Linked DNA regions of Notamacropus eugenii. The protein of the gene in region 3 interacts with the protein of the main gene of each other region in a biochemical or structural test. Links are inferred from orthologs where the notes say so. Each region holds a gene or a part of one and is shown on either strand. Other genes may lie near its edges.

What was found.
Region 1: the proteins of SNTB1 (region 3) and GUCY1A2 interact in a test that uses a peptide from one of them, tested with the Homo sapiens proteins (2 studies listed by IntAct, with this or other methods). The link is inferred for Notamacropus eugenii from reciprocal best matches to the Homo sapiens genes SNTB1 and GUCY1A2.
Region 2: the proteins of SNTB1 (region 3) and DGKZ form a complex in vitro, tested with the Homo sapiens proteins (2 studies listed by BioGRID and IntAct, with this or other methods). The link is inferred for Notamacropus eugenii from reciprocal best matches to the Homo sapiens genes SNTB1 and DGKZ.
Region 4: the proteins of SNTB1 (region 3) and SLC16A7 interact in a test that uses a peptide from one of them, tested with the Homo sapiens proteins (2 studies listed by IntAct, with this or other methods). The link is inferred for Notamacropus eugenii from reciprocal best matches to the Homo sapiens genes SNTB1 and SLC16A7.

The regions. Positions count from the first base shown.
Region 1 is NC_092876.1:147,947,591-147,954,965, reverse strand, and holds the start of GUCY1A2 (guanylate cyclase soluble subunit alpha-2), read right to left. Parts: upstream 3,024-7,375; 5' UTR 2,230-3,023; coding exon 1,936-2,229; intron 1-1,935. UniProt on the Homo sapiens protein: Has guanylyl cyclase on binding to the beta-1 subunit. Isoform 2 acts as a negative regulator of guanylyl cyclase activity as it forms non-functional heterodimers with the beta subunits.
Region 2 is NC_092877.1:4,447,259-4,454,474, forward strand, and holds the start of DGKZ (diacylglycerol kinase zeta), read right to left. Parts: upstream 3,044-7,216; 5' UTR 1-3,043. UniProt on the Homo sapiens protein: Diacylglycerol kinase that converts diacylglycerol/DAG into phosphatidic acid/phosphatidate/PA and regulates the respective levels of these two bioactive lipids.
Region 3 is NC_092875.1:124,293,737-124,301,024, reverse strand, and holds the start of SNTB1 (beta-1-syntrophin), read right to left. Parts: upstream 3,033-7,288; 5' UTR 2,792-3,032; coding exon 2,152-2,791; intron 1-2,151. UniProt on the Homo sapiens protein: Adapter protein that binds to and probably organizes the subcellular localization of a variety of membrane proteins. May link various receptors to the actin cytoskeleton and the dystrophin glycoprotein complex.
Region 4 is NC_092874.1:235,355,615-235,363,056, reverse strand, and holds the start of SLC16A7 (monocarboxylate transporter 2), read right to left. Parts: upstream 3,018-7,442; 5' UTR 2,632-3,017; intron 1-2,631. UniProt on the Homo sapiens protein: Proton-coupled monocarboxylate symporter. Catalyzes the rapid transport across the plasma membrane of monocarboxylates such as L-lactate, pyruvate and ketone bodies, acetoacetate, beta-hydroxybutyrate and acetate.

The DNA.
Region 1 (7,375 bases), on a different chromosome or scaffold from region 3:
CAAATGCCGCTCTTGTCCCCCTCCTTGTACTAGCATAAATCAAGGAAGTACATGTTGCTATATGTGTGTCTTAGGCTTTTTTTCTCTTTTCTCAGGGCATCCACTTTGTGATTTGTGACATAACATTGCCCCCCAAGGCTGTGCACTACCAAGCTGATGTTCCTATTTGAGAACACACTTCATTCAATCCTTTCTGGAGGAGAAAATAACCTTGCTTAAATTTTATGCCTGAGCTTTTCCATTAAGAAGTAGAAGTTCAATTAAGAGAAAGAGAAAAACAACAGGGTAAGGAGGGGGGAGTGATTTTCATAGATTCTAAATAAAAGTTTCTAATAGTTCTTCAATATTTCCCACTGCTTAGATTCCACAATGAATTCCCAGAAACTCCTGGACTCCTGACCAATCTAGACAACCTATGGAACCCTGATTCCCCAATGCTCCACTACAGAGACCAGTTATCCAAATCCTAGAGCTGCCCATCCTACCAAAGGGATGCAGTCAAATTGTTTTCAGATTTATTATGGACATTCAGGAGCCTTCTAAACCAACTGCAAGTACTTGGGCAATAGAGAGAAGTTCTTTTGAGTCAGAAGCCTGGTGGCCAAGGTGACAATGAGCCAGATATTAGGGAGAAAAAGGGAGGAGAGACTGAATAGAGCATTCAAGGAGCTCAAGGAAACAGAATGGTGATATATCTCTCTCTCTCTTTCATCATAAAGATATATATATATATACACACATACACACACACACACACACATATATATATGAACATGTAAAATCTCCCTATCTATCTATCTCTTTCAGAGTCTACAACAGAATGGACACAGTAGGAGAAACTATACAACTCAGGAGACAATGATCTAGAGTGTCTCCCCATAAGAAAAGATGGATAAGGGTTGGTAAACTCAGAAGGAAAAAGACCCTGACCAAGGAAGAAAACTCTTAATAAGTGCTGAATTGATTTTTTAAGAATTTCAAGGACCAGGGGATGTGATGTAAATTTGAGATGAAAGAGGAATATGAAAATAGGGAACTATGGTACGTATCCAGGGAGACATGGGGGAAAGACATAAGAGAATGAAAGGAATGAAAGTGAAATGAATGAGGGAGAGAAAAGACATAAAATGAATCGGAAGAATTTGGGGGATGAACCAGAAATGGGACCAACAAGGAGTGAAAAAGATGCCTCACCGAGTCTCCAACCAGATGAGAGCTGGAAAGGTAGGCAGAGATATGGATAGGTTAATAAGAGGTTTCCAGGACAAGAGGCAACTCTTAAAAGTAATTTGATGGGAAGTTAGTAATGATCTAGGGGAATAAGGCAACCTGAATTATAGGTGTGAAATTCAGAAAACAGAAGGTTAGTCTACTGGCAGATAAGATGACAAAGAGTAGTAAAAAAGGTTTTCAGGAGAGGAATATTTAACAAAGGGAATGTTAACAAAGAGATGTTTAACCATAGGGAAATTAAGTGAGTAACGGAAGGAGAATGAAGGCTAGGATGAAAAAACTAGTTAAAGAAAAGCTCAAAAAGTTTAGGGGGTGATAAAACAGTGGATGCCCTGGAATGTTAGTGAAGTGACAGGAGGTGAGCAGGAGAACCAAACTCTTGGGGTGAGAGATTTCAAAAGGGGTACAAAAATATAGCCCAAGAGCCTAATGAGAGACGATGATCATGTTCCCCGAGTCCCATATCACTCCATCTTTTCAAAATCAGGAGCTGTTCAATGAGGAGGGATGGAGACCGATGCAAAGGTGACCAAAGAAGTGCGTCAGGGTGAAAGGTCCCGATGCCTCCTCCAGTGACCAAGTTTGTCCCGTTGCGCTTCATCCACCCCTTGACCCCAGCCCCAGCCAACTTTCCCCACTTCCCCTGTGCCCACCTCCCTCCCTTTTCCCCCGCCCCCCACCCCTCTGCTGCCAGGCGCTCACCGTGGGCGCCGTCAGGCGGCTGATGCTTTCGCCCAGAGAATCCAGGTTGACCCGTCTCCGGCGCTGTGCACGCCTAGCCCCTGCGGTCGCCGTGGCAGTGGCCGCAGCCGTGGCAGTGGCCGTGGCAGCCCTGGCAGTAGCGACTGCCTCGGGCTCCTGAGGGCCGGGAGGGCTCCGGCTGCCGTTCCAGCAGAGCTTGGATAGGGGACATTCGCTCTCCTCCTCCGGGCTGGTCTCCAGATAGTCCGACCCCAAGGAGCTGAAGGACTCGGAAGAAATCTTCCTCCGAGACATGCTGCTCCTGCTGCCTCCGCGGCGATGGCCAAGGCGCTGGGCAGAAGCGTGTCGGGAGCGCGGCGGCGGCGCGGGTGGCAGTGGCGGCGGCGGAGGCTCCGGGTGGCGCCGGGGACCGGGAGCAGGGTTGGCAGAACAACTAGAGGTGCCGCGGCCGCGCGGAGCTGCCAGCGGGCTCAGACGGGTAGGAACTCCTGGGGCCGCGGAGCCCCGCGAACCGGCTGCTCATGGCGGGAACTTCGGGCTTCCTGGTCACCTTCCCCCGGAGTCCCTCGGCTCCGGCTGTGGCGCCGGCTGCCCGGGCTCCCGCCTCCGCCGCGGCTCCGCTGCCGCCAGCACGGCCGCTGCTGCCTCCAGCCTCAGCGCATCTTCTTCCCCGGCTGCGCTGCGCTTTCAGGCAGGGGGGCGGGCGGGCGGTGGGTGAGTGTGAGGGTGTGTGTGAGTGTGTGTGTGTGAGTGTGTGAGTGTGTGTGTGTGTGTGTGTGTGTGTGTATGTGTGTGTATGCGCGCGCTCCTGTGTATGTGTGCGTGTGGGAGAGAAGGGGCGGGAGGAGGTTGGGGGAACCTTGTGATTTTGAAAGCAGACGCTTCTGCTACCCCTCTGTCTCCCTTGCTTTTTCTGTTTCCCCTCCCGTCTTTTCCTTCTTTCTCCTCCCTTCTCTCTTCTTACTCTCTCCCTTCCTTCTCTTTTTATCATCTCCTCCTCCTCCATTCCCCACCCCCATCCCTCCCTTCTTCTCTCTCCCCCCTCCCTCCGCCCGTATCACGTGTCCCCATCAGACTCATTTGGAGTCTTTCCCTAGCTTGTCGCCACATTTCAGAAGCAATGAGGACACTCCCCCCAACCCCCCGATGCTTAACTCTGCTTTCCTCCTTTCCCCTCCCCGCTGGATAGTCTGGGAAAGGGGTTACGAGGGGGCGGGGTGCAGAACTCAAGATAAAAGGGATATAAAATGACCCCACACCCAATTTTCTCTTGACTCTACCATTCCCAAATCCGTGGATTCCCGCGTATGGGGAGGCTGTTGCCTGGAGTAGAGTTAACTCTTGGAACGGGCATGGAATGAAGTAATGGGGGGAGGGGGTTGAAGGTAAAACGGAGATAGGTGGTCAGTCACTGTAGCAAACCTCTGATGCAATCTCCCTCCCACTTCGAGATGTCAGAAAGAAAGCCCCAGTGGATGAATTCCCTCTGGTTGAGTGTGAGGACCTGAAAAGACTCTTGGAAGACACTTCTCTTAGGGCCAAATGAAGAGTATTTAGCGTGGGATTAAAGTTAGATGGGGACAAGGTGGTTGGGAAGTGAGTGGACATTTGATTCCATCTTTGCCCTTTCTCCCGTCCTCCTGCCACACTTAACAGGTGAGTGCAGAAGCACAAGGAAAAGCTGTTATTCCGTTTAAGATACCTCCACATTCGCAGTAGTCACTTGCCTCCCCTAAAATTGGGAAACCCCAGGGGCAGGGAGAAAGGAACAAGCAAGTTGACCCAACTCCCGAAAGGAACCTGTGCCGGAGACTAGACTGTTCCCCAGATGACGCTTAGTCCTACTGGAGGAAGAGCCCGGGTAGGTATGGAGCCAAAACCGGGGCCCTAAGCTTGGGTGACGAAATTATTCAGGAAAAGAGCCCTGTAGCTGAGTTGCAGGGACTCTCAGGCTCTGAATAAGTGCTGGACAGCTCCATTTTCTACCTGCCGCAGATTTCCCTGATGACTGAGAGAAGCTCTAACATAGTTCCACAGCGTTCCCTGGCACCTAGGTGGCGGAAGTAAGAGGCCAGGGAGGTAGAGTTCTCTGGTCACTCACCCCTTTTTTTACTCCACGGGTAAAATCTCTTTACATTTGCCTGTAAATGCAACACAGAAAGATAACATCTTCACTGTTATTTAACTGATCATTTCACACTTTGTTATGCACCCGCTTCATCGGAAATCTTCTCACTGCAAACAAGCAGGTCATTAAGCACCTGTCCAACGGTGCTTTCCCTTTCTCCCTGAAAAACTTTGACCTCCTCTGACCTTGATCCGAGTGACTGTGAAGAAAAGTGTTCTCAACTACAGTCAAATAGGTGAGTGTCCTCCCTGAAGGAGTGCAGCAGCTGGGGCAACTGTCCTAGAAGCAACAAGCAAACCAAAGTCTCACCAGAAGGCCCAGAAATAAGTATTAGGGATTAAAAAGATGTTTATTTTACCATTTCTGGCAAACATCATTATTTGCCAGATTTAGCTAATAATAACTCATATTTACATATGGCTTTTTTGGAACTTGTAATGTGTTTGCATACATCTTATTTGGTCTAGTGTTTAACCTGTCAGCTAAATAACACAAGTGTTATTATTTCCATATTATGGACAGGAAACCTGGGGCTTAAGGATGTTAAGTGACTTCTCCAAGGCTACACAATCAGCAAATGGCAAAACAAGAACTTCAACCTGGATTGTCTTATTCTTGTTCCTACCACAACACCTCAGCTGCTCTCTAATATGCTGTTGTCTTGAGCTAAAAGTGTGGAAATAATTTTCCTAAGCTCTCCCTTTTCAAATTTAAAAATAGAATGGAATTAAATTATGGCAGTGCTACATACTTTCTTTTCATTTAATTTTGTACTATTTCCAATGGAAATCATGCATAACTATATTTCTCTATGGTTAGAACAGGTATTAATACAAAAAAAAAAAAGTTTGCAGATTTTGTCCTTACTGAACAGTTGTAAATAGCTGCCTTGGAAAAAAAACCTCACCAGGGAGTATAATACCAACTTTAGAAATCTGTTGAATTTTCTTGCTGTGCTATATCATCTGGAACATAGCAGCCTGGAGGCCTTAATTACCTTTTTTTTATTCTGAGTGATGAACTTCAATTGTCATGTTATCTTACACTCACATAGAAAGGCTGTGCCTTCCACATTTATTCAGTGAATTATTTTTGGACACAAATGATCCAGCATGACAATGGTTATTGACCTTATGGTTAAAATGAAAACTGGGGCTTTTTAATTAATCATCTTAGTGCTTTTCTCAAAATCAAAATTACTAAGTGGAATGTCATGAATCTAACTTGCTTCTAGTCATTGTAAGAGGCCCAAATAGCTAGTCTTTCTCTTTAGGGTAAGTGGTTGCCAACAAGAACTCTGAATCTGTGAGTGAAACTGGTGGATGCACATGCACAAACCAGCTGAATTGAAAAAAAAAGGGATGAAGTCAAATTATTTGCTGTTGTTATTATACTCTGTAGCTATTATATGAATGCACCTATTATATTTTACCTGACTGAAAAGTTTGCTGAATTTCTAATTGTAAATATATGAACTGTGAAGGAAATATAGCAACTTCTATTCCTATTGATGTGCAAAATGTAAAAGATCCTAACTGAGGGAAGAATGTGAAGAAGCATTTAATGGAATATTTTCAAAAACTCACCACTTTTAGTAAAATTTCCTGTTTTATGTAAAAATAGAAAAAGGAATCAAAATGCTCAAAGCAAGCAAAAAAAAGTCTTATCAATAAGTCAAAAGATTGAGAGGATGCATATCCAGGACTCTATTTTTTTTTATTTAAATAACTTACTTAAACCTTCCTAAACAGAAATTCTTATTAGTTGCTTCAGTATGTTCTGAATTTATCAGTTTATTATAGTAGAAGGTAAAGAAAACTCTTCCTTAAAGCATGGTTCTACAGTAGAAACAGGGGACTCTATTCCTTTAGTGAATATCTATTTTATTAAACCAGATCTCTAGCTACATTAGTATAAAAAGCTGCCAGCAAGAAACTGCCTCATTAATGCAGGTCCAGGTCTGCATCATTTCTGCAATTTATAGTCTTTTAAAGTTGCCTGAAACCTTAAGTGACTTGTCCAGGGTTACACAGCAAATATGGTGAAGAGACCAGACTCAAATTCAGATCTTTCTCACTCCAGAGCCAGCTCTCTATTCACAATGCCAGCTGCCTCTTGATAATTATCTAAATATATACTTAAAATTTAAAAACTTAGACATTGAAACCTTTATTTCACAGCTGCAGAAAGTGAGGCTTAAAAATTTGAGCAAATTTGAGCAAATTTGAGCAAAAATTTGACAAAAGTTCCCCAGCTATTTAGTGGCTGTAGCTGGATTGGAACCCAGAATATTTGGCTCCCCATTCAAAGATCTTTTTGATATACCATCATTGCCTCATTTGGGAAGGGCTCTCTTAGAAAGAAGTCCTTTCTTGCCTTATTGAAAACGGTGACCATTCCTCCTCTAAGTGAGAAAGATGGCTCTTGTTTTGTATGAGGGAAATTGATGTCTATGTCAGCTTTAAATAAAAACTACAATTAATTGTTGGCCAGAAATTTTTATATTCCAGAACTTCTGGCTCTTTCCTAATTCCTTTTTGTTCTTCCAAGTCCCTGTCAAGAAAATCCCAACCTTTGGATAGATGCTTTTAGAGCTTAGCTCTTCCACAACTACAGTATATGGGGAAATGTATTTATATCCAAAAATTGATATAAATCTAACAACTCTCAGGAAACATGAAGATAACATTAAAGAAGTTTCCTGTGGAGATATGTTGGCTACTCAGGTTTTTATCCATGGTAAGCTTCACTATATCTTCAGATAAGATGATTTCCCCATCTCTACCTAATGCAAATATTGTCATATACATATTTCCTGCATGTGATATTTCACCACCTGATCAATTATTCCCTTTATGTTATCAAAGACGGTAACCATAATCAGAATTCCCTAATTTATTTCTGGTTAAGGCTTATGAGTCAATGAATATGAGTAAGTATTTGACCATATTAGAGAGGAACGTGAGAAAGACAGCACATTTATTTCTTCTTACTGCTAGAGCATATAAATCCATTTCTATAAATTTTCATTGTGTTTAACATGTACAAGGCACTGCACTAGGTCTTTGAGATACAAAGTGAAAAATGACACCAACTTGAAGGATCTTTCTATGGCTTTTAACTTATTTACCACATTTTTTATACTTCAGTAAATCAATGCATCATTGATCTCACTGGGGGAAAAAAGTAACTGAGTGGTCCAGTGGATAGGGCTCTGGGTCTGGAGTTAGGAAGACCTAAGTTCAAAATCAGCTTCAGACACTTCCTAGCTGTGTGATCCTGGGCAATTTACTTAACCCTTGACTGCTTAGG
Region 2 (7,216 bases), on a different chromosome or scaffold from region 3:
CCGCCACCTTCTAGACTTCTAACAGGCGCCTCAAACTCAGAATTCATTCCCTCCAACCTAGCCCTTCATCCCAGCTTCCCAAGTCCTCCTGAGAGCACCATTCTCCAACAAACAAGGTTCAGAACTTCAGCAGCACCTGGACTTCTCTCTCCCTCAGCGCACATTCCATCTGTTCCCAGGCTGCTCCTGTCCCATCCACATTCCCTTCTCCCTCAGCCACCACTCCTGTTCAGGCTTCTCTTCTGGATCTCTGCAACAGCCCCCTAAAAGCTCTCCCTGCCCCCATCTCTTCCCAAGCCAATCTATCTTGTACTCAGCTGCTGAGGTTTGATCAGGTCATCCCCAATACTCAAGACTCCAGGGGCTTCCATCTGGCCTCCTGGTCAAGGTCAGCCCCTGTTCCAGTCTTCTAACATACCATTTCCCTCCACAGACTCCAAGGTCAAGGCACACGGACCTAGTGGATGTTCTTCACTCCCAATGCTCCATCTCCTACGTCTCTCTGGGCTTCTCAACTGGGGGCAGTCCCCACTCCCACCCTGCGGCTGCTTCCAGCTCGGCCCAGATGCCATCATCTGTCTCCTGGAGGCTTTCCTCAGGCCTCTGGCTGCCAGCGTTGGAGACATCCCCTTTGAGGGTACCTTGCACGCACTTAAAATGTCCCTCAGAGACACAATTTGTATACACACATCTGTACCATTAGATCATAAACTCTTTGGAAAAGGGCTCCTCCTTTGTTCTATGTCTGGTCACTGTACAGGTTTCACAGACACTTGATGACTGACCCATGTGTCTGGCCAGCTCGCGGCTCAGCGTGGGATACTGGGGGCCGTCTCCTCCCTTCTCCTAGTTTCTGTACAGGCCTGAAGGTGACAAAGCACTTTACATTCATGATTGCATTTGCCCCTTCCTACAATCCTCTGAAGTGCTATTATTAACTCCATTTTATAGATGAGCAAACTGAGACCAATTGGGTTTTTTTCTTGACATAGTTGGTAAACACTGCAAGCAGGACTGCCCCTAGATTCAACCCTGGCTTCTCCCTACAGATTGCAGCTGTCTGAGGGCAGGGAGCACACCAGGTTTCTAATGCCAGCGCCCTGCCTGGGGTACCAATGACTGAGAGGGCCAGAGGCCTGGTGGAGCATCGAGGCCCTCATCAAAGGCAGCTCTTAGGTCCTGGCCTGTGGTCCCAGAGGTTTCCCAGGCACTTCAAGTCCAGGGGCCTTTTGTGTACCTTTGCCACCTGTCAGACTGGCAGTCCCATGCTACTATCCTCAGGCTTTCCTATGGGGTATCAGCTTTCTGCTGTCCTGTGACAGCTGTCCAGACTGGAGGAGATTAGTCACCCTGACAGACCGCCTGATGCTAGTGTCACCAGAAAACAAAGGCCACAGTCTCTGTGTGGGGAATGGGGGAGGGGGCAGACAGGCCCTTGGGCACTTTGTAAACCCTTGCTGGTCAGCTCTAGCCCTGAACACAGCACCTGACACATAGTAGGCACTTCCAAAATACTTGCTGATGGACTAAAGGGAGGGCCTGGATGGAAGGCCAATCACTGGGTGCCCAGATGCCCATCTTCCCCACCCTGCATTCCGCTGGCAACATCTTTGCTGTCATCCATCCTGTGAGCACAGGGCTCACACAGCCACAGGAGGAGGGCTAACAGCTACTCAGCAACGCTCATCCCACAGTGATGGGGCCCCTCAAAGGCTGCCTTTTCCTTAGGAGAGAGCAGGGTAGTGAGAGGCCTCCCTCACAGAACAGGGTGCTGGAGCTTCCCTCTGGTCACCACAGACAACCCTGTCCTCTGCTCAGCCGGCTCTGGATCCATTTCCTCTCTGGCCTTTTCAGCAAACCGCTCTCCAGGGACCTCTGACCAGTCTAGCCTAAGCCCTCACTGGGCTGGGATGCTGGGCAGAGCTCAGTAGAGCTCCAACGGTGCCTTAGACTTTCTTGCGTTTCTAGCTTTATTCTGCGCTGGATGCGTAAAGGTCACTGGGCTCCAAGGTTGTGGTAACCCAGACTGTGTGGGGGGCCCCACAGCCTGAAAGCATGAGGGGGAACAAATGGGCTACGCCAAAGAGCCTCAAAGACATCAATGCGGTAGGGAGGGGACATGGCCCCTTGATTCTCTACCTGGGACAGTGCAGAACCCACACCAGGGCGAGATGGGAGCCCAGCTAACCCTTACCCATGAGTCCCAAAGGCCTCGGCCCATGACCTGGCCCACCTAAGGACAGTCTGATAGCAAGGGAAGGTATGGGCAGCTTCCTCACCTCTCTCCCCAGGAGCTGGAAAAAGAAAGGCAGGGCTGGGTAGTGGGACTCCTGGGTCCTCTCTGGGACTGGCTCACTGGATAAACAACAGTTCAGAGGGGAGAGCTGCTAGGAGGCTGGAAAAACCTCAAGGTCTCTCATTCCAGAAACGAATGAATTTCCAGTCTAATATACATTTTGATCCCTGGCCAATACTGACTGGGCCTCTCAAGGAGGCTCCTGAGCTGGAAGAGGCCTAAAGGTGTCACCCAGCTTCTCCAGGAGCCTATGCCAGGTGGCTCTCATCTTAACAAGGCCAAAAGTGCTCTCTCCTATCTCCTGGGTTTTCCCACTAAAGCCAGGGTGGGAGAGGAGAAGGAAGAGGGAAAGGGAAGTGTGAATTTGAAGGGTAGTCCCAGTCCACTACATGAGGAAGGAGGTCTGGCAGCCTGGCCACCTGGGTATTTGCTCATGCCACAAAGTGCCAGCCTCCACAGCCTGTTACATACACATCGCCCCTAGTCCTGGCTACAGTGCTTCCCATGTTCCGTGCTACCCTCCAAAGCCCGGGGCAGGGCTGCCCACTAAGTAAGAAAGAGACCAAAGACCCTCCACCTGCAACTTGAGGGGGCTTCAGATCACTCAGTCCTACCACCCACTGATGCAGGAGCTCACTCTGAGCATTCTGGGTAGCAGCTGCTGCTCGAGATGAAGCCCACTCCATTGTTCTGATTCATTTCCCTACATGGAGGGCCTAAGCACAGACCAGAAGACTGACACACATTTCCCTTCCTCTTGAGGCAACTAGCCTTCTTCCAGAAGCCCCATCCCCATGGAGGAGGCATATTACATCCCCCAGGGGATGCTGGCTGTGCGCCAATGTCCAGCTGTTCAACTCCCACAAGCCTTGGGTGGAAGGCTGGGAAAGTCTGAGACGGGAGAGCAAAGACACAGCATAGGCCTCTGACATGAGAAGACTGAACCCCCAAAAGGTAAAGGAACTTGTCTAAGGTCAGAGGATGATGGAGCGGAGCTGGGATTTGGGTTGAGCTCCTCATATTCCAAAACTGCTGTTTTTCATGATGCCAGGTAAAGGCTACTAAGCCCCTGGCTGGGGAGGGGAGAAGGTCTGGGCACCGCCAAAAGAGAGGGCACAGGAGGAAGGAGGCCTCCCTTATCAGTGCCCAGAATTGGGGGGGGGGGTCATGGGGTGGAAGGGAAGGAAGGAACAGGCAGCTAACCCCAGACTGCTTTCATTAGGAAACTTCTTGCTGGGGAGCAAGCCAGCAGGCACAAGGCAGCTGGCAGAGCAACAGGATGGGTGGCAAGGCTCTGGGCAAAGGGGAAGGGAGTTGTCTGGCTGGGTTAATATTTATCCTAGGCTCTTTTGGACTCCCTGCCCAGGACCAGAGGGGCACAGAGTGCCCTCTCTTCAACACTTACAGCTAGGCTGAGGATCCCAGTCCCTTCCTGGCCACATTGTGCCCAGTGCCCCCCACCCCACCCCAAATCCCAGGTTAGGAGGCCCCACGCAGATGAGAGAGGGAGTGGGGAGGGAAGGAGAGGGAAGGGATGAGTCCCCTTTTGACCTGATCTGAAGGCAGGGAGAGCAGTAAGCAGGGGCTCCGGGTCCTGCGAGCAAGCCCTGGGGCTCCAGGCAGCAGCCCTCTCTCTGGTAAGTCCTAGTTTGGAGGCAGCAGCCCTACTCTCCGCCCCCTCGTCACCCCTTCCCCCCTCCTTCCCCCTCTCCCTTCAGCCTAAGACAGCCGTTATGAAAATAACCCCATTGGTAACCAAGTGCACTTCCTCCTGATAGGGCTGGCTCCCAGCCCCCATGCGCACACACCAGCCTCCCCTCCCTGCTCACTCACCCAGAGGGGCAGATTGGCAGGCAGACGACAGAGGCAGAAACAGACAGAGACACACACAAATACAGACAGACAGACAGACACACACACACACACAGGAGAACCTCTCCTCCCTGCTCACTCACCCAGAGGGGCAGATTGGCAGGCAGGCAGACAGAGACAGAGACAGAGAGATACAGACAGACACAGATAGACAGACAGACACACACACACACACACACACGCGCGCACACACACACGAGAACCTCTCCTCCCTCCTCACTCACCCAGAGGGGCAGATCGGCAGGCAGACAGACAGAGGCAGAAACAGACAGAGACACACACAAATACAGACAGACAGACACACACACACACACACACACACACACACACACACACACACACGAGAACCTCTCCTCCCTGCTCACTCACCCAGAGGGGCAGATCGGCAGGCAGACAGACAGGGGGATTTATGTGGTCCAAGAGAGCGGAGGGGGGCAGTGGAGTTTACAGAGGGGGGAGTGTGTGTGTGTGTGACCATATCACTATGATCATATGAGAACTTCAGGAAAATCACTGGCAGCTAAAAGAATGAGCTGAGAACTCTGCACCCAGAGTCAGGAAGACCCACCTGAGTTCACATCTCTTTAATCATTCACTTTTCTGGAAAACCAGAAAAATAATAGTACCTGCCTCCCAGGGCTATTGTGGGGACAATATGGGGTATTTATAAAGCACTTTAAAGTGACACCTCAATGTGTGCTATTAATTAGCAAGAGGTAATGAGGGTGGGGGCTGAATGAGGTCAGAAGGTAATGCAGGAGAGATGTAAAGGTGGATCAGACATGGGGAGTGAGTAGGAGGGAGGGGTCGGGGATGACACCAAAGCTTCGAGCATGGTGGATGGTGGTGCTCTCAACAAGAGGAAGCTGGGAAGAGGGGAGGAATGGGGGGCAGGGGAGGACATGTTGAGTCTGCCCCATTTCTCCCCTCCCCTGTGAGAGGGACATTCAGTTATGGGCAGCACTGGAGCTCAGAAGAAATGTTAGGGATGCTGCTGAGGACAGTGGACGAGTCTATGTGTCACACTCCAGGCTCTCGAGCACTCCAAGCAGCACTGGGAGAGTGGCCCTCAAAACATACCCTCTGCTTTCTTCCAGAAAGAGCTGGTACCATCAACCTGACATGTTTTAATTATTTTCCCATTGTATCTCTTTCCTTCCCCCCCCCACTCCCCACCATTAGATGGCAAACTTGTGGGGCAGTGTCTTAGGAAAGACTACGCCAACATTAATGAGCCACTATTAAAAAGACCATTGGACCAACTTGAAGCTGAGAGAAACCTGGACTGAAATCCAGTCCTACACTTATTAACTCTGTGACCTTGGGCAAGTTGGTGGCAAAAACCTTGGAACCTAACTTTTTTAATCTCTTTATGCGAAGGGGTGGGGAAAGAGAGAGAGACAGAGAGAGACAGAGAGAGACAGAGAGAGACAGAGAGAGACAGAGAGAGAGAGAGAGAGAGAGAGAGAGAGAGAGAGAGAGAGAGAGAGAGAGAGAGCGCGAGCGAGAGAGCACCTAGAGGACAATGCACTTCACTGGGCTGGGGTGAGATCAAATGAGAACACATGGTAATGTGTAGAAAGCCCCGGGTAAATCCTAAACACTGCTACAGAGCTTACCCTGTATCCCACAGACCTTTAGCACAGGGCTAGCTTTGCCAAAGAGCCTCACAGCTTAGAGTCTAAAAAGCCAGGCCAGCAAGCCCTGAAGCAGACAGACATTATTAAGCTAGATTGTGTGTTACACACTGTCCTAGGCCACGGGTGGCCGGGTGGGGAAGGGACAGAGATACAAAGTGGAAGTAAGAAATATTCCTTTCTTCCCAGAGTTCAGAGAAGGGAGTGGCTAAGAAACCAACCCAGGGAGCTCCAACAGGCAAGCCCAGAGGATGTGACTGAGGGAGAACTCAAAGAGAGAAAGGGAGGACTCCAAATGTCATGTCTCTACCAAGCCAGCAGGGTGACCGAGGATGGGGCCCAAGGTCCATAAAGCCATCTTTTTCCCATTGCACCCTAGGAGATGTCATGGAGCAAGCAGAGTGGAAAGAGCACTGGGCTGGGGTCACAAGATTCAACTAGTAGGGTCACTTCCCCTCTGAGACTCAGTTTCCCCATCTATAAAAAAAGATCCTACCCACCTTTCAGGGTTGTTATGAAGAAAGCACTTTGGCCTACAGGCATGAGCTATTCTGATATCAGGGGAGACCATCTCCCTTTACAATGTGGCTTCCGTTTCAGAGAGTAAAATCAGGATGGAGATGGCCTTTTTGGTCAAGTTCCCACCATCTCCAGACCCCTTGCCCTCCAATCTCAAAAGCCAAAGCTCAAAGTACCTTTGTTTCCCACCCAGAGGATCGTGTGTGTGTGTGTGAGTGTGTGTGTGTGTGTGTGCGGCAGTCACTGCTGAGGGGTGGGGGTGGAGACCTGGTATCCTATATTCCTGTACTCCCTTATCTGTGAATGTTTCAAGCCCATAGTGGAAGGCGGATTCCTTGAGAACCCCACTCTCCAGGGGCTTTCTCCCCTAGCATTACTAATGACGTCTTTGCCAAATCTAACGGCTTTTCTTGACCTCTCTCCAGCCTCTGACACCATTGACTCACATCTTTTCTTGATACTCTCCAGGTCTCCCTCTGTGACCTCACTGTCTCTTGGATTCCCTCCTATCTGACTGGTCTTTCTCGGTCTTTGCAGGATCTTCATCCAGATCGTGCCTGGGTGACCCAAAGGGCTATTGTGGGCCCTCTTCTCTCCTCCCTCCAGACTGTTTCATTGGGTGATTTCATCAGCTCCCATGGATTCAATTATCCTCTGTCTGCAGATGATTCTCACATCTCCAACGGCCTATTAGGCATCTCAAAGTCAACACATTCGAAGCTGATCTTTCCCTCTAAACGCCAAACATCCCCATTACTGCCAGGGGCACTAACCATCTTCCCCAGACTGGGGGTCATCCTCAACTCCCCACATCCCACCTCCAATCTGTGGCCAAAGCCCATCAGCCCAGACTTTTCCAACAGCCTGGGGGTTGGTCTGCATGCCCCAAGTC
Region 3 (7,288 bases):
GCTGCATCATATTACCTCCCCCAACAGCCAGGTGAGCTCATTCTCTATCTGGCATGTTCCCACTTTCCCTCATCATATGTTTCTTTGATATTATCCTTTCCAAGACCACCCCACTGACCTCAACCCCAGGGTAATTTGTTTTCTTCTTTACTAGATAATTTTTTTCGTCCAGACCAATAATTTCATCAGGGCAGAAAGCTCTCCAGTGAGGAAATGCTTGCAATCAATGTAACTGAGTTAGTGTTCTGCAATTTAAGTCTAGGAAAGAAGTTCCTAGGGTCACTGAAAGACTAGTCTGGGGTCGTATAACCAGCCAGAGCCCGAGGCTAGACTGGAACTCAGATTGTGCTGCCTGCTACATCACAAAGCATCTGTTTAGATGACTATCTGAATTGCTGGTCAGAAAACCGGAAGACCCCAAGGAGTGTGAAAAAAAGAGAAAAGGGTGTAAAGAAAAAAAAGAAAACTGAATGAGAAGAGGTGATGGGGCTAGTTCCTAAAGTAACAGCCTGAAGTCAATGATCCTACTAGCCTCTATTCAGTATTTTACTGGGCTCCAGAAAGACATAGGGTTGGATGGTATCTGTATGTTTGTGTATATGTGTATATTATATAGATACACACATAATTATAATTGGCTGGGACCAGGTCTTATTACCCACCCACCTACCCCAACACACCTTGGCAAAGAAAAACTTGACTGTTTACTTATGGTAATCACCAAGCCAAAGCAAATTGACTAGTGCCGAGTTAGCTGCGGAGGGCGGTAGAAGCAGGAGGCACAAAGCAGTACGTCGGCAGAGTACAGAAACACCTCCACACCCAACTCCGCGTCGCTTTAATTCATTTCTTCTGGGCCATCAGGTGGGCTATCATATTCCAGGGAGTTGCATCACCTGTCACAAGTTGCAAAGTTTATTTCCCCGCAGCGCTGGGCTCGACCGCGGCTTCTCTTCCTCTCACAGCTCCACACCGAGAGACAGCAGCACCACCACAAGGCCATCAGGGAGTCTGGCCAGACTGGTCTTCCTCCACCCAGATTCCGTGCTCCCAGGCTTACAACAAATGGCTTTTTACGGGGTCTCAGATGGAATGTTTTGTTCCATAGAATGGAGGGATAATGTGCGCGCAGTTGGCATGAAGAATTAATTGTCTGGTCTGCAACTGTTCCCCCGCATTCACAACATTGGATATCTCCAAACCTGTAATGAACAGTAATTCCTAGGGTATTTCAGACGCAGCCCTAGTGAGGGGTGTAGAGGTGTTCAGGTTAATCGGCTCACGAAGTAGTTTCTAAGGCACCTCAGGCACGGATAAAAAACTAGTGCAGATTGAAGCCCCAGACCATATGACTACAGTAAGAAAGCCTAGAAAAAAAAAATGTGGGCAGAAAACGACCTCACAGCTCTCCACGCAGCGCAATCAAGAATCCAGCCGGACTGGACCGACAGACGCCCTGCAGAAGGAGTGGCGAACTCCTGCACGAAACTGCCACATTTTCTTAGCAAAACTCTCGCCTTGCCTAAGCTAGCTGACAAGTGTTTCTCTGTCTCTCTCTGTCTCTGTCTCTGACATCACCAGTCTCTACAGGTCACACGTGCAGCCAGTGAAAGGTCTTAGACTTTGCCCAACACCAACTGCAAGGGGGGGTGGGGGTGGGGGAGGGGGATCGGGGACCTTCGATCCTAACCCTAACCCTAACCCTAAATGCGCTCGATTCTACATTCCTGGTCTGTCCCTGTCTCTCCCAATTCGCCCAGTCAATCCCTAGACCCAAAGCGCCAGAGTAGGAATTCTCATGTGAGAGGTTGGGATTATTCTCTTCCTTCCACTTTTCCAACCATACTCCTCCCACACCCTCACATCCCAGCCAGACCCCGACCTTTACTGTAGTACCAGCCCAAGGGTAGTGTTTACAAGGCCAGGTCGGGAAAGCTAGTTGAAGTGACCCGGGCTTGTCATCTCTCCGCTGCCGCTGGCAGACTTCATGGAATGGGGAGGTGAGGCTGGTAGGACACAAAAGTTGTCAAGACGGCGCGGCCCCCAGCGAGTGCGTGTGTTTTACCACCTGGCGTGTGTGTGTGTCCATGTGTCTGTGTGTATGCCTGTGTCTGTATGCGCAGCGAGTCTCAGGAGGCATTAACCCCTTACCTTCCAACAGAACCTCTTTACCCGCTCGCTTGAGCGCCTGAACTGCCTCGTCGTGGGTGGCGTCCCTTAGGTCGGCTCCATTCACAGACAGGATCGCGTCCCCCACGTACAGGGCCTGGGTCTGATCAGCTGCCAGTCCCTTGAAAATCTTGCTGATGAGGATGGGCATCTTGTTCTCTTTGCCCCCCTTGATGCTGATGCCCAGCCCCCCGAGCTCCTGTTTCAGCACCTTCACGCCCCGCTTCTGGTTGGCAATGGACTCGGGCACTTGGTCAGGCAGGTCAGTGAAGGCAGTGCGTACTCCCACTTGGGGGCTGCCCCCGACCGCCGGCACAGAGGTGTTCAGGGACTGGTTCCCGCTCTCAGCGCCCCCGCCGCCCCCGAGACCCCCGGGGCCGTGGCCACTGGCGCCGCCGCCACTGCTCCGGCCGAAAGAGCCATTGGTGGTTCCGCCGCTCCCGATGCCGTTGTAAGCTCCGGCCCCTTCCTCGCTGCTCAGGATCAGGGAGTCCTCGTTCAAGTTCACCAGAACTTTGTACCAGCGGTCCCGCACCAAAACTTCCAGCAGCCCGCTCCGCTGTCCCCGGCCTCCGCCTCCTCCAGCCGGCGCTGCCGAAGCTGCTGCTGCTGCTACCGCCATCTTTCCAGCATTCTTAAAATACCATGTGATTGCAAAAGGAAAAAAAAGTGGGGAAGGGTGGGTGTGCTGGAGGGAAGGGGGTAGGGGCAGGCCAAGGGGTCCTGCGGGAGCGAGAAGCCCGAGACCCGAGGGGCAGCGCCTGCCGCTGCCGCCGCCGCGGGACTTCACTCCCGGAGTTCAGAGACACACTCCGCAAGCACGAGTTGGCTAGCGCCAGCTAATCGCTTCTGCTGCTTTCCCCCCTCGCCGGATCCGGGGCGGGGTGGAGCAACCTAAAAGAAGGAGGGGGGGGGGGGGGGGGGGGAGAAGCACCCTGCCGCCAATTGCAAAACCCCAATCCGAGGGGAGCTGCCGAACTGCAAAGAGCTGGGCAGGGTTTCTCTGGAAAGGGCACTGGGAGAAGGGCAGGGAAGGGACCTGGCACCCGCAGCTCACCTGTTCCAGTTCCCGCCGCTGCCGCCGCAGCAAAGGCAAACCAATGCTGCACCACCCCACCTACACCCCTCCTTCCCCAACTAAGCGTAGCAGAGACCTGAGCTGACGACCGCTCCCAAATCGGTGCCAAGAGCCCCCTCTCTGCCTTGGCTCCCTTCCTCTTCACAGACTTTTTACTCTCAGCTCCTGTCTTCTCAGCTGTTTTTCTCTCCAGCTAGCCTTGTTGGGCCACATCTGCTATCCTCTCTCGTGGCCTAAGCTTGCCACGTACCCTTCTAATATCCCCCTTCTGAAATAAACCTAGGGCCATCTCTTACTACTTTGCCCAAACCTAATCCTTCCTTTCTCTGCTGAGCTCTGGTTGGTTTCTCGTCTTAACGAATTTTTTTTGAAAGTCAAAGACAAGGGGACTCCGGGGCTAAGTGAGAAGGTAGCTTGCACCCTCAGGAAAAAAAAAAAAACCGGAGAAAAGGAGACCCTGAGTATCCAGACTTTAGGGTCAACCCGAAGTCCCCATAGTAACCCAATTCCTCAAAGCTCTCCGTGTTCAGAGGACTTGCCTTGTGTCATGTCCAAGGAATGGAAATGGATTTAGTCCAACGTCTGCTATCATGAATTACTGTGCTGTCTCCCTGTTTGCTCAGAGAAGTCACCTGCCTTGACTTCAATCCGATTTTGTTCTTTTATTTTGTATGCTTTATGAGTCCTTTCTCCCTAATCCCATTCCAAACTTTACTTCCTTCCTATTTCTTCTCTCTCTAGGGCGTATCAGGCTCCAGTGTATGGAGGATTTGTTTTTTGAAGTGGTTGGAATTGGGAACATGTTTTCTCATAGAGAAAAATGCTACAAAAGACTGGTACATTGCCAGTCTAGGCCACAATAGCACTTTTCAAACCTTAAAAGTGATTCTGCATAAACCTTAGATCTTACTGAGATTATTTATTACTTTTATTTTTATTACAGAGGCAGCAATGTTGTGGTGGAAAGAGTGCTCCCCTCAGCATCAGGTTTTGTTATTGAGTCATTTCAGTCATATAGGAGACCTGGATTTCCATTTTCCATTTTTCAACCCTACCACTGACATAAAGGACCATGGGTAGCCAGCTTCTCTCAGTTTCCTCACTGGTGAAACTGAGGTAATCAGAACTGTAATAAACTGTAACTCTCAGGGTTGCTGTCAGTATCACATGAAGTAATGTTTGTAAAATACTTAGCACAGTGTGTAGCACCTAGCACCATTACCTTCCCCAGAGTAGTGGTTCTGAAAGTGTTTATGGACACCCCCTCCCCCAAGTGTCCCTGAGGTCCTTGCAGGAGGTCTATGAGGGCAAAATTAATTTCACGATAATACTAATTCATTTTTTGCCTATTAAAATGCTCTTTCCTTTTCCTGACTATTTGACTGTGTGAGGCCTGATTGTCTTAAGGAAAAACATGACAGCAGATTGAATGCAGAACAGGTTAGAGAATCTAACCATCTTCAGTTGAACCAGACTTTAAAGAGATTTGCAAAAATCTATAAAAAATGCCATTTTTACTCAATATTTTTTGTTTTGAAAAATATACTTATTTTTCATAAAATATTATCTATGTTAACATGTAGTGGGTTTGTCCTTGTTTTAAATGAGTTAAATATTTTTAAAATTTATATTTTAATCGCAGATAAGGTAGATATCAATAGATATTTACGTTGATAAAAATTCTTTAGGGTCCTCAATCATTTTTTCAAAGTATAAAGGGATTTTGAGAGCAAAAAATTTGAGAAGTGTTGCTTTAGAGCATTGAAAGGTGAGGCACCTTGCCCAGTGTCCCATAACCAATGTGTCAGGCACAGGAGTTGAATCCTGGGATTATTTGCTACAAGGCCTGCCATCCTGCCTCTCTAACACATTTGTACAGTGCTTTGTAGTTGTTGTTATTCAGTCATGTCTGACTCCTTGTGACTCCACTTAAGATTTTCTTGACAAAGATAATGGAGTGGTTTACCATTTCCAGCCTGTTTTGCAGATGAGAAAACTGAGGCAAACAGGGATAAGTTACTTTTCCAGGGCCACACAGCTGGTAAGGGTCTGAGGCTGGATTTGAACTCAGGTCTTCCTGACTTCAGGCCTGGTGCTCTATCCACTGCACATCCTAGCTTCCCCTATATAGGTCTTTCTGATTTCTAAAATGCTTTATTCACAACAACCCTACAGAAATATAAGCTCTATTATTATTAATCTGTTATATAGATGAGCTTCATACTGGGTTTCTCAAAAGTCTCAATGCAGCTTTAAGCTTTAATAGCATAATGGATAACAACAATAGTATTAATGGCGCTATTCTAAAATCTGGGTTCTGAGACCAGGAGACCATGCAGTATGGAGGGAGGAATAGGAAAAAGAAGAGCATTTTCTGTCCTTTAATGGCCACCAGGATAGTCCTAGGCAAACATTTGAAATAGGTGAAGATTCTCTTTGGCATTCTCCTCACTCCTCATGCTTCTTCATGCTGCTAATGCCTATCCTCATACTGTCCCCAATCCCCCACTGCAGTAGCCTTTCAGTGCCTCATCTACGCTTCCCCTCAAAATTCTCCATGTTCTCAAATTACTGACCTCTTTTGTCTTCAGTCATAACTCCCATCCTCTTAGTACAACAGATTTCTTCAAGTCTGATGACTTTTGGGAGGCTGGTGGTGGGGGTGGAGGTGCTTTGGACAGGAGATTTCATCAGTGTAGAAAGTTTCTTCTACCCATAAAGATCCTCGACTCAGCTGTAACTTAAAATTTTAGAAAATTGTCAAAGGCATTCAGAAGTTCAGATTTGTTGGTCAAGGTCAGAAAATGCTAGAACATAGATTGCTAGGTGGAAAAGATCTTTGCAGTTCATAGAGACTAGCCCCTTTATTTTACAGAAGAATCTAAGTTCAGAGAATCACACACAGCGAATGAGCTGAGGTCTGGAGCCAGGTTCTCTGACTCTAAATGCAACCCTCTTTTCCACGTTACAGGAAAAGTTGATCCCCAAAGGCTAAATTTGAAATCTCCTCCACAATATTTTTCCTTTCCTTTTCCCCATTAGTACTCTATCTTTTAGGGGAACTCTTCATTTTTTTAGTCCAGATGTGTGATTTCATCCTTATGGGAAGCTCCCTGGTAAGGAAGCTTTGTCTTCCAGTGGAAATTTGTATTTGACAACCTGACTTTTTGCCTTAGAACTTTGTCTGGAACACTGATAGGTTAAGTGATTTCCTTAGGGTCACATAGCTAGTATCCATTAAAGACAGAAAGAAGGCTAGTTCCCTAGTCACTCCAGGCTATCTCTCATCTGTTGAAATTAGTTTCTATTCAGTATCTATAAAATATTGTGAGAAATGTGGCCTAATAAGTAGAGAGCCAGCCTTGAGCCAGAAAGACCAAGGTTCATTGATCTTGTGCATGGGAATCATGCAAACTATCTTTTTCATTTAATCATACTGGCTCTGTGATCCTGGAAAATCATTTACCCTCTCACTTCCCTCCCTTCCTCACCTTTGTAGTGCTTTATGTTAAAGAGAAGGTGCTGATCTGTTTTGGTAAAGGGAGTTTCCTCATCTATAAGTTTCTTATATTAAATTAAAGGGATGTCTATCCCAAGACTGTGAAGACTTCCTCCAGCAGAATGGGTAGATGAAAACAGTATGGCCCAATTGAAGTAGGATCCATGGAACACTTAGAGCTTGGTCAGATATCAAAGATGCCAAGGTCATCCATCCATTGCATCCTGGGCCATCACCAGTCATTCTGACTTTTGTGTCGTCATTGGACTTCTATGTCTCTGGAAGAGAGAGTGAGGCTGATGACTTTGGGAAAACCTGCCTCACTGAAATCTAATTCACATACACACACAGATATTACTCAGCGGTGTCATTTGTCCTCTTAAAAAATGAAGGATGAACAACAACATATAATAAAATAACAAATCCAGTCTCTCTCCCTATTATTTCATAGAATGAAATTACTTTGTATTAAATAAACCCACATAAATCATCTGCATTACTAACATATTACTAACAAAGCCCAATAGGAAGAGATAGAAAGA
Region 4 (7,442 bases), on a different chromosome or scaffold from region 3:
ATTTTGTGTACTAATTCTTTTTTAAACTTTACTTACAAAGGATGTAGAGTGGAACTTTTTTTAAGAAGTACTGAACTAGGCATCTGAAAATCTTGTTTCAAATAGCAGTTTCCTTGTTTAATAAATCTTTATGTGACCACGGATCACATATAATTTAACCCTCCAAGACTCAGGTTCTTTCCCTGTAAAATAGGAATTATAATACATATACTGTGTACTTGGAAGATATATTAAAAAATCCTAATTCTTAGAGTGCTATATAAATATAAGTTATTATTACCACTGCTAATTTCCTGCAATGATTTTTAGGATATATATCAATTTGAGATAAGGGGAAAGAGGATGAAAATTCAGTAGCATAAGAGGCAGCATCATTTAGTAAACATCAAATTGCATTAGTAATCAGGGAACCTCATTTTAATCCTGTTTTTATGCATCACTGAATTATATAGCACTAATCAGGTGTTCTCTATCAAACTGACTCTTCTGTAAAACGAATATAATATTTACCTCTCCTTCTCTCTCTCTCTCAAGGTGTTTTGGTTCTGTTTTTGTTTAGGATTAGGTTGGAGATAATGTGTGATTCCCATATTAAAGTTCCAGCTTCCCTGCAAAAGGTGGGTCTGGTAAAATCATACCAAACTCATCTAAATCCCTAGGGTACGACTTGGCATAATAAAAGTAGGGAGAGTGTTTTACCCATTCTAAGTAATGTTAGCTGAATTGAACTGAATCTGGAAGGAAGATGCATAACTTGAGGTTATTACCTTGTGAAAATTTACTCTTTTGAGTCAGGATTAGGTTACAGAGGGAAGTTAAAGAATCCCCTTTTCCAGAAGCTATTTTCAAATGCCTTTTGGGGTTAATAATATGACTGAGTATAGTCCTACCTTAGAGGCAGAGGACTGGACTAATTGGCTAACTGAATTCATTTGACTTGTTCTCATTCCGTATTTGTCCTAGTGTCTGATGTCTCAATGACACAGCAAATCCAACTCAACATGCCTCTTAACAAGTTTGCTGTCTTCTGAACTTGGTGGTTGGGCTGATAACCACAAGGTTTCCCAGTCTAACTGCCAGGAAAAGGGCATCCAGAGTCCCACTCTCCCTCTTTCCCAACCTCTGCTCTCATGTCCTCATCATCCCTTCTCCGCTAACTCCCATGGGCCGCTTCCTATTGGCCAGCCCGAGGGAGGGGTCCATGAGATAATAACCTACAGCTAAACTCATTGCTTGTTGTGCACTCCCGCCCTTGGCCTAGCCTAGCCCTGCCTCTAGAGCCAGGAAGGGCAGGCAGATAGTGAGTGTAGGAAGGCGGGAGACGGAACAATCTTCCAGTCTTTCCTCATTTGCCCTCTGTTCCATCCTCCACCCCCTTCAGTGCAAGCACCAAATCCCCGTCCCAGTCTTAACGGAAAAAGGCGGCCATCGGAATGACTCGGCGTACTTGTGCCTGTGCCAGCCAGGGCCAAGGCACCCAATATCCCCTTTGGCGGAGCACAGACGAGACAGACTTGGGGGGAGGAAGGGGGAGGAGGCAATAGGCCTGGCGACAGTCGCCTGAGAGATGAGCACACTCGCACGTGAGAGGCAATGCCACCTGGCCGGGACCCGGGGGCAGCCAGCTCGGCACAGCCGGCCCCAGAGCAGCGCAGCGCGTGGTCCTAGTTGGCAGGAGTCGGCGGGAGCCAGCCCTTCCCTGCATTAGCTACTGCGGCAGCTGCTGGGGTCCATCTCAGCATTCATTTCCCCTCCTCTCCGTGCCCCTCTCTAGCCCTCCAGCCCATTGACTGAGCCTCTTTCATCCCGGGCACACACCTTCTATCCACCTCCCCTATCCCTCATTGCCATTCTCCAGTAGAGGCAGAGAAAAGAGACCATCCAAGACTATCTCATTCTCAGACGCCCTCCTCGCCCCAATCAACTGAGTCTTTGCTGAAAATGAACCCCCACCCCCGTGACCACCACCCCTCCTCCCCTTTGCTGCACCAGCGCCATCCTCGTGAGCAGTTGCCCTTGCTGCCTATGTCCGGGTTTCTGCGCTAAGATGCTTGTGAGATGCAAGTAGGCGATACACAGTGTCTAGCTGGGGACTGGGAAACAACGCCGCGAGTCCTGGAGCGAGAGGGCTAGGGAATCTCCTGTGCAAAATACCCCACAACTCCACCACCATCCCCAGTCAAGAAGCGATCCCAGGCCCTGTTCTTGCATCAGATACGCGTCCACAAGAGCACAACCAAGACTGGCAGGAGTTCTTGAATGGGACCCTCCACCCCCCCCATTTCCCTTTGCCTCGCAAGCGCGCCCATTCAAACAATGTTGAGGCTGAGACCCCCCCATGCTGGGTGTGAGCGTGCCCAACACACACACACACACACACACACACACACACACACACACACACACTCCTCTGGGGGCAGCTTCAGCTTTTTGTCTATATATGGACTCTCCTCCCAGCACTCCAGTACAATGTATGTTATATCGTGCACGCAATGGGCACTCTTAGCACACACGCGCTCAGCCCTTCTCCTTAAGGGCATCTACGAGCCCCGGAGGTCTCCGTTCTCATCCTCCTCTTTCTCCTTCTCCTCCTCCTCCTCCACCTCCCTGTGCCACCCGGTGTGTACTTACTTTATACCTGGTCTCTAGCTCGGGATGAGTGGGTGGGCGCTCGGCTCTGTGCGTGCCCCCCCGCCGCAGCCGGTTCTTTTCGCTGTCACAGGGTGAATGGATTTATTTATTTATTTATTTCCCTTGACGTGTCCTCGCCAGCCGCAGCCAGAGGAGGAGGAGGAGGCGGCGAAGGCTGGGAGGGGAGGTGGAGGACTGATGAATGCCCTTGTGTACGCCTCCTTGCGTGTGTGTGTGTGTGTGTGTGTGTGTGTGTGTGTGTGTGTGTGTGTGTGTGTGTGTGTGTGTGTGGAAGGGAGGGGAAAGGAGGAAGGGCAGGCAGCTGGAGGGAGGTAGAGGGAAAGAGGAAGGAAGAGAGGCTTCATGGGCCAGCCGAGCTACAGTGTAAAAGCTTCCGACTAGCGCCCCAAACCTGCCCTGACTCACTGAGCATGCCCAGCTCAAGTCATGCAGACTTTCCATGGACTGAGGGCATTCGCTCCCGCTTTGTCTAGATTTTAGTGGTGACCTGAGAGTGAATCCGGAGGGAGTCCCAAGGCAGGTAGAGAGATCACTTAGAGCAGCCTCAACCTGCTTGGTGTACAGCGTGGGGGACAGGTGTATTGTGGCACCCGCTAGACAGCTAGGTGAATAAGGCAAGGACATTAAGACAGTAAAATATGCAGTCTGAATGGGAAAGAGGATGGAGGATAGCTATCCTGGACCCTGAGGGGCAAAAGAGTTCTCCTTTTCCTGAAGAGGGAATTAGCCGTTATTTGGTCACTGGATTCTTCAGGCACCCAACCAAATCATTCTAGTGGAGGGCAATGGAATAGAGCTGGAAGAAAATAAAATACAGGAAGAAATGGAAGTTTATAAAAGTTTCCCTTCATGTGATTCTGAGGTCACCAAATGACAGGATTTTTCCTAAAGGTTTTTTTTTTTTTGGAGTGGGGGAATGAGGGGTCTAAGTCTGTGACTGAAATGGTGTATATGAAAATTCCCTCTCCTAAGGAAGAACAGAGACTAATTTGTAACTTTTAAGTTTAAAGTTCTCGAGGAGTAGTGAGAGGGTTAAGCGACTTAATACACAGCCAATGTGTGTCAGAAACAAGACTTGAACTCAGATCTCCCTAACTACAAAAGTGGGCGGCTGTCTCCTATGCCATTCTTGCTGCTGCCCAAACCTTATGAAAGTAAGACATTCAGTTAACTGGAAAATGAATAATTATAAGAATAATAACTATTATTTACATTTTTTGTTTAGTTCAAAAGCAATCCCCATGCTTTTCAATCACCTTTCCCCCCCAATGAAATAACTTTCTGTAGAATTTCTCCTGACTGAAGGAAAGATAGATTAGAAAAGATAGAAATTGAAAGGACAAATATAATTTTCTACAACTAAGAAAGTCAGGCCTTTGTGTCTTTAATATAAAATTGATCCTTAAAGTTGTTCAGATGACAAAATATGGGACTTTAATTAAGAATGTAGTTTTCCTACCAATTCCTTTCGAAGAATGAGTGGTTTTTTAAACTGCTTTACAACTGTTCATCATGCCCTTAAAATAAAACTTTGGATCGGCTTTGCTTCTGGTTTGTTTCCAAGAGTTCAGAAGGCATCTTCTCTCAGAAAGAGTACTTTGGAAAAGCAAATAAATCAATAAATGAATGACCAGACAAATAAATCAATAGATAACTAAGCTAGAATTGGGAAAACAACTACAAAAAAAGAATTAGGGAATGCAGTCCTTTTAAATAGGATTGTCTATGCAGTAAGTTCTCAAGTCTAAGACTTCTTTATAAGAAGACTGAAGGGTAACAGCAGTTGTTTTTCATGGAAATACTGTCCAAGAACACTATGTTTTCTTAGAAAACAAGAGGACCACTAGAATGTCGGGATGTGCTTCCTAAACATCAGCACAGTAATGCAAAGAACTTGCAAAGTCAACTGCATGTACATGTGTATGTATGTGTGTAAATGTATATATTTATGTGTAAGTATACATCTATGTACAACACAGATGGATATACACATATACATAAACATGGATATATGTATGTATAGATACATATAATAACCTAATATTTATAGAATGCTTGCTAGGTGCCAAGCACTGAGTTAAGTGCTTTATAATTTTTATTTCATTTGGTCCTCAGTAACTTTGGAAGATAAGTGCTATTCACCCTCGTTTTGCTGGTACCAATACTAAGGCAGAGGTCAATGTGGCTTGTAAGATTGTATGACCTGGCCTAAGTAGATAGCCCTAAGAAAGGTACCTCATAGATAAGGACAACTTGGAGAGGGCTTTGCTACTTTTTTCCCTCAATGGTAAATTATTACATTGAAGCAAATATAAACCATTAAATATTTAACAATTTTTAAATTTGTTTTTACCGTATTTGTCTAACAGTTCAGTTTATAATTTAACAGCATCTAGATTGAAAGATAAGTTACTTTTCTAATAGCATTTCTGACACAATGATCTCTCAAATTTTATAATATATGAAGAACTTTAGAAACACAATAATAATGCACATGATATCATGGATTTAAAATATGAACAAATTTATACCCAGATGGTGATATCAATTCAATTGAATGCATTTCCAAATTATCTCACATAGAAAATCATTCATTTTATTACTTTTAGTGTGTTATATCAATTATATTAAAGGCCAACAGAGAATTCTTACATTTACTAACATTTATATACTGCTTGTTATGTGCCAAGCACTATGCTAAGCATTTAAAATCATGTGATCCTGACTAGAAAAATAGGAGGTGGGTGTTAGGATTTTTCCCCTTTATAGATTAGGAAACTGAGGTAAACATAAAGTAATGAGCTTAAGAGCACACAGATTTTACACTAGATTCTGATTTACCACAATTATCTTAGTAAGAGACCGTATCTCACTGAAAATTAGACTATATGATATTTTAATTTCAGCACAAATTTTGACCAAATCGTCTCAATTTCCCCAAAGACCCTCTCTTTCCACTTAGCATTTGTAAAAAAAACAAAGTCATAGTCGCACTTTTTCTTTCTTTGAAATGTCCCAGAGATTGACTTCCAGGAGCCATGATATTGCAGTAAGCAATAAATCACTGTTACTCTCCCATTTTCACCTCCAAACAACCATAAAATAGTGCCCCAAAACAAATCCTGGAACAGCAAAACCAGCTAAAAGATGGGTAAAGCAATCTTTTAGCCCAAGAAACTTGGAAGATTGGCAACAAAAGTCCATCTCAATCAGATAAAAGGAGAATACATTCCAGAACAGGAATCATCAAACCAGTGGGAGATCTTGAGCCCCAGTGTGATGGAGTAGGCAAACACTAGCACAAGAACACCTCTCTGTCCCTGCATGCCTTAGCATAGCAAGGAGAACCAGCAGACTCCAGCTCCAAGAAGCATAATCCTCTGGGAAAACAGACATTCTCCAGAAGGCATACCTCCATGTGCCTCAGTGTAGCACCAAGGAAATGTAAAAACACATTTCTAGGCCTCAGCACATACAGGACACCACCAATAGGATCCCAGTTCAGCATCAAGTAAACTACTAGAACCCTACAGCCTTCAGTAGCACCATCTATCCACAAGAGAAGAGGGTCCCCATGGGTCTCTGGGCAACATCAACACAACACCAGGTAAACAGCAAGGGCCAGCAGGCCCTGGCCCATGAAACTTGAGACAGTGCCCCTTTCACCCCAAGAAAAGAGTTCAAATTTAAAAGAACAAAATTAAAGGGCCAAAAACAAGAGCAAAAAAATCCAAACCCAACAAAAAAGAATCTGACCATAGAAAATTATAGTGACAGGGAAGAGTAAAACACAAACTCAGAAGAGAACAACAATGTTAAAATACCTATGGGCAAAACCACAAAGGAAAATGGGAAGTGATCTCAAGTCCAGAAGGAACTCATAGAAGATATCAAAAAGGAGTTTCAAAATTATATTAGAGGCAGAAGAAAATTTGTTAAAGGAAATGAGAGTGATGTAACAGAATTATTGACAAAAGAGTCTACAGCTTGGAAAACTGCTTAAAAACAGAACCAGACAAATGTAAAAGGAGATGAAAATCCACTGAAGAAAACAACTCCTTAAAAAGTACAATTGACCAAATGGAAAAGAAAGTACAAAAGTTAACTGAGGAAAACAATGCATTAAAAGTTAAAATTGGACAAGCAGAAGCTAATGACTCTCTGAGCTATCAAGAACCAATTAGGCAAATTCAAAAGAATGAAAGATAGAAGAAAATGTAAAATGTCTCATGGGAAAAAACAAGTGACCTGGAAAATAGATCCAGGCAATATAATATCAGAATCATTGGACTACCTGAAGCCATAATCACAAAGAGGACTTGGACAGCATCTTTCAAGAAATTACCAAGGAAAATTGCCCTGAGGTCCTGGAACCAGAGGGCAAAAGAGGTATTGAAAGAATCTATTGATTACCTCAGGAAAGAAATCCCCCAAAAAAGTTCCAAGGAACTTTGGAGCCAAATTTCAGAACTATCAGATCAAAGAAAAAATACTACATTAGGGAATGCAGTAACAGAAAGTAACAATCCAAATGTCAGGGAGTCTCAATCAGGATTAAACATGATGAGAAAGAGGAGTACACTTGGTGCAGAAGAAAGAGAGGTAGAATGGGGTAAATTATTTCACAAGAAGAGACGCAAAAGACATATTACAGTAGAGGGTGTAGACCCCTCCCCAAACCACTTTGAGCACCCAAGACCTGATAAAGGTCTCAAACCTGAATTGGTCAATCAGGAGAGACATTCTGGTGTGCTCTCAGCTTAACCTACAATAATGCTTTCCATGCTCTG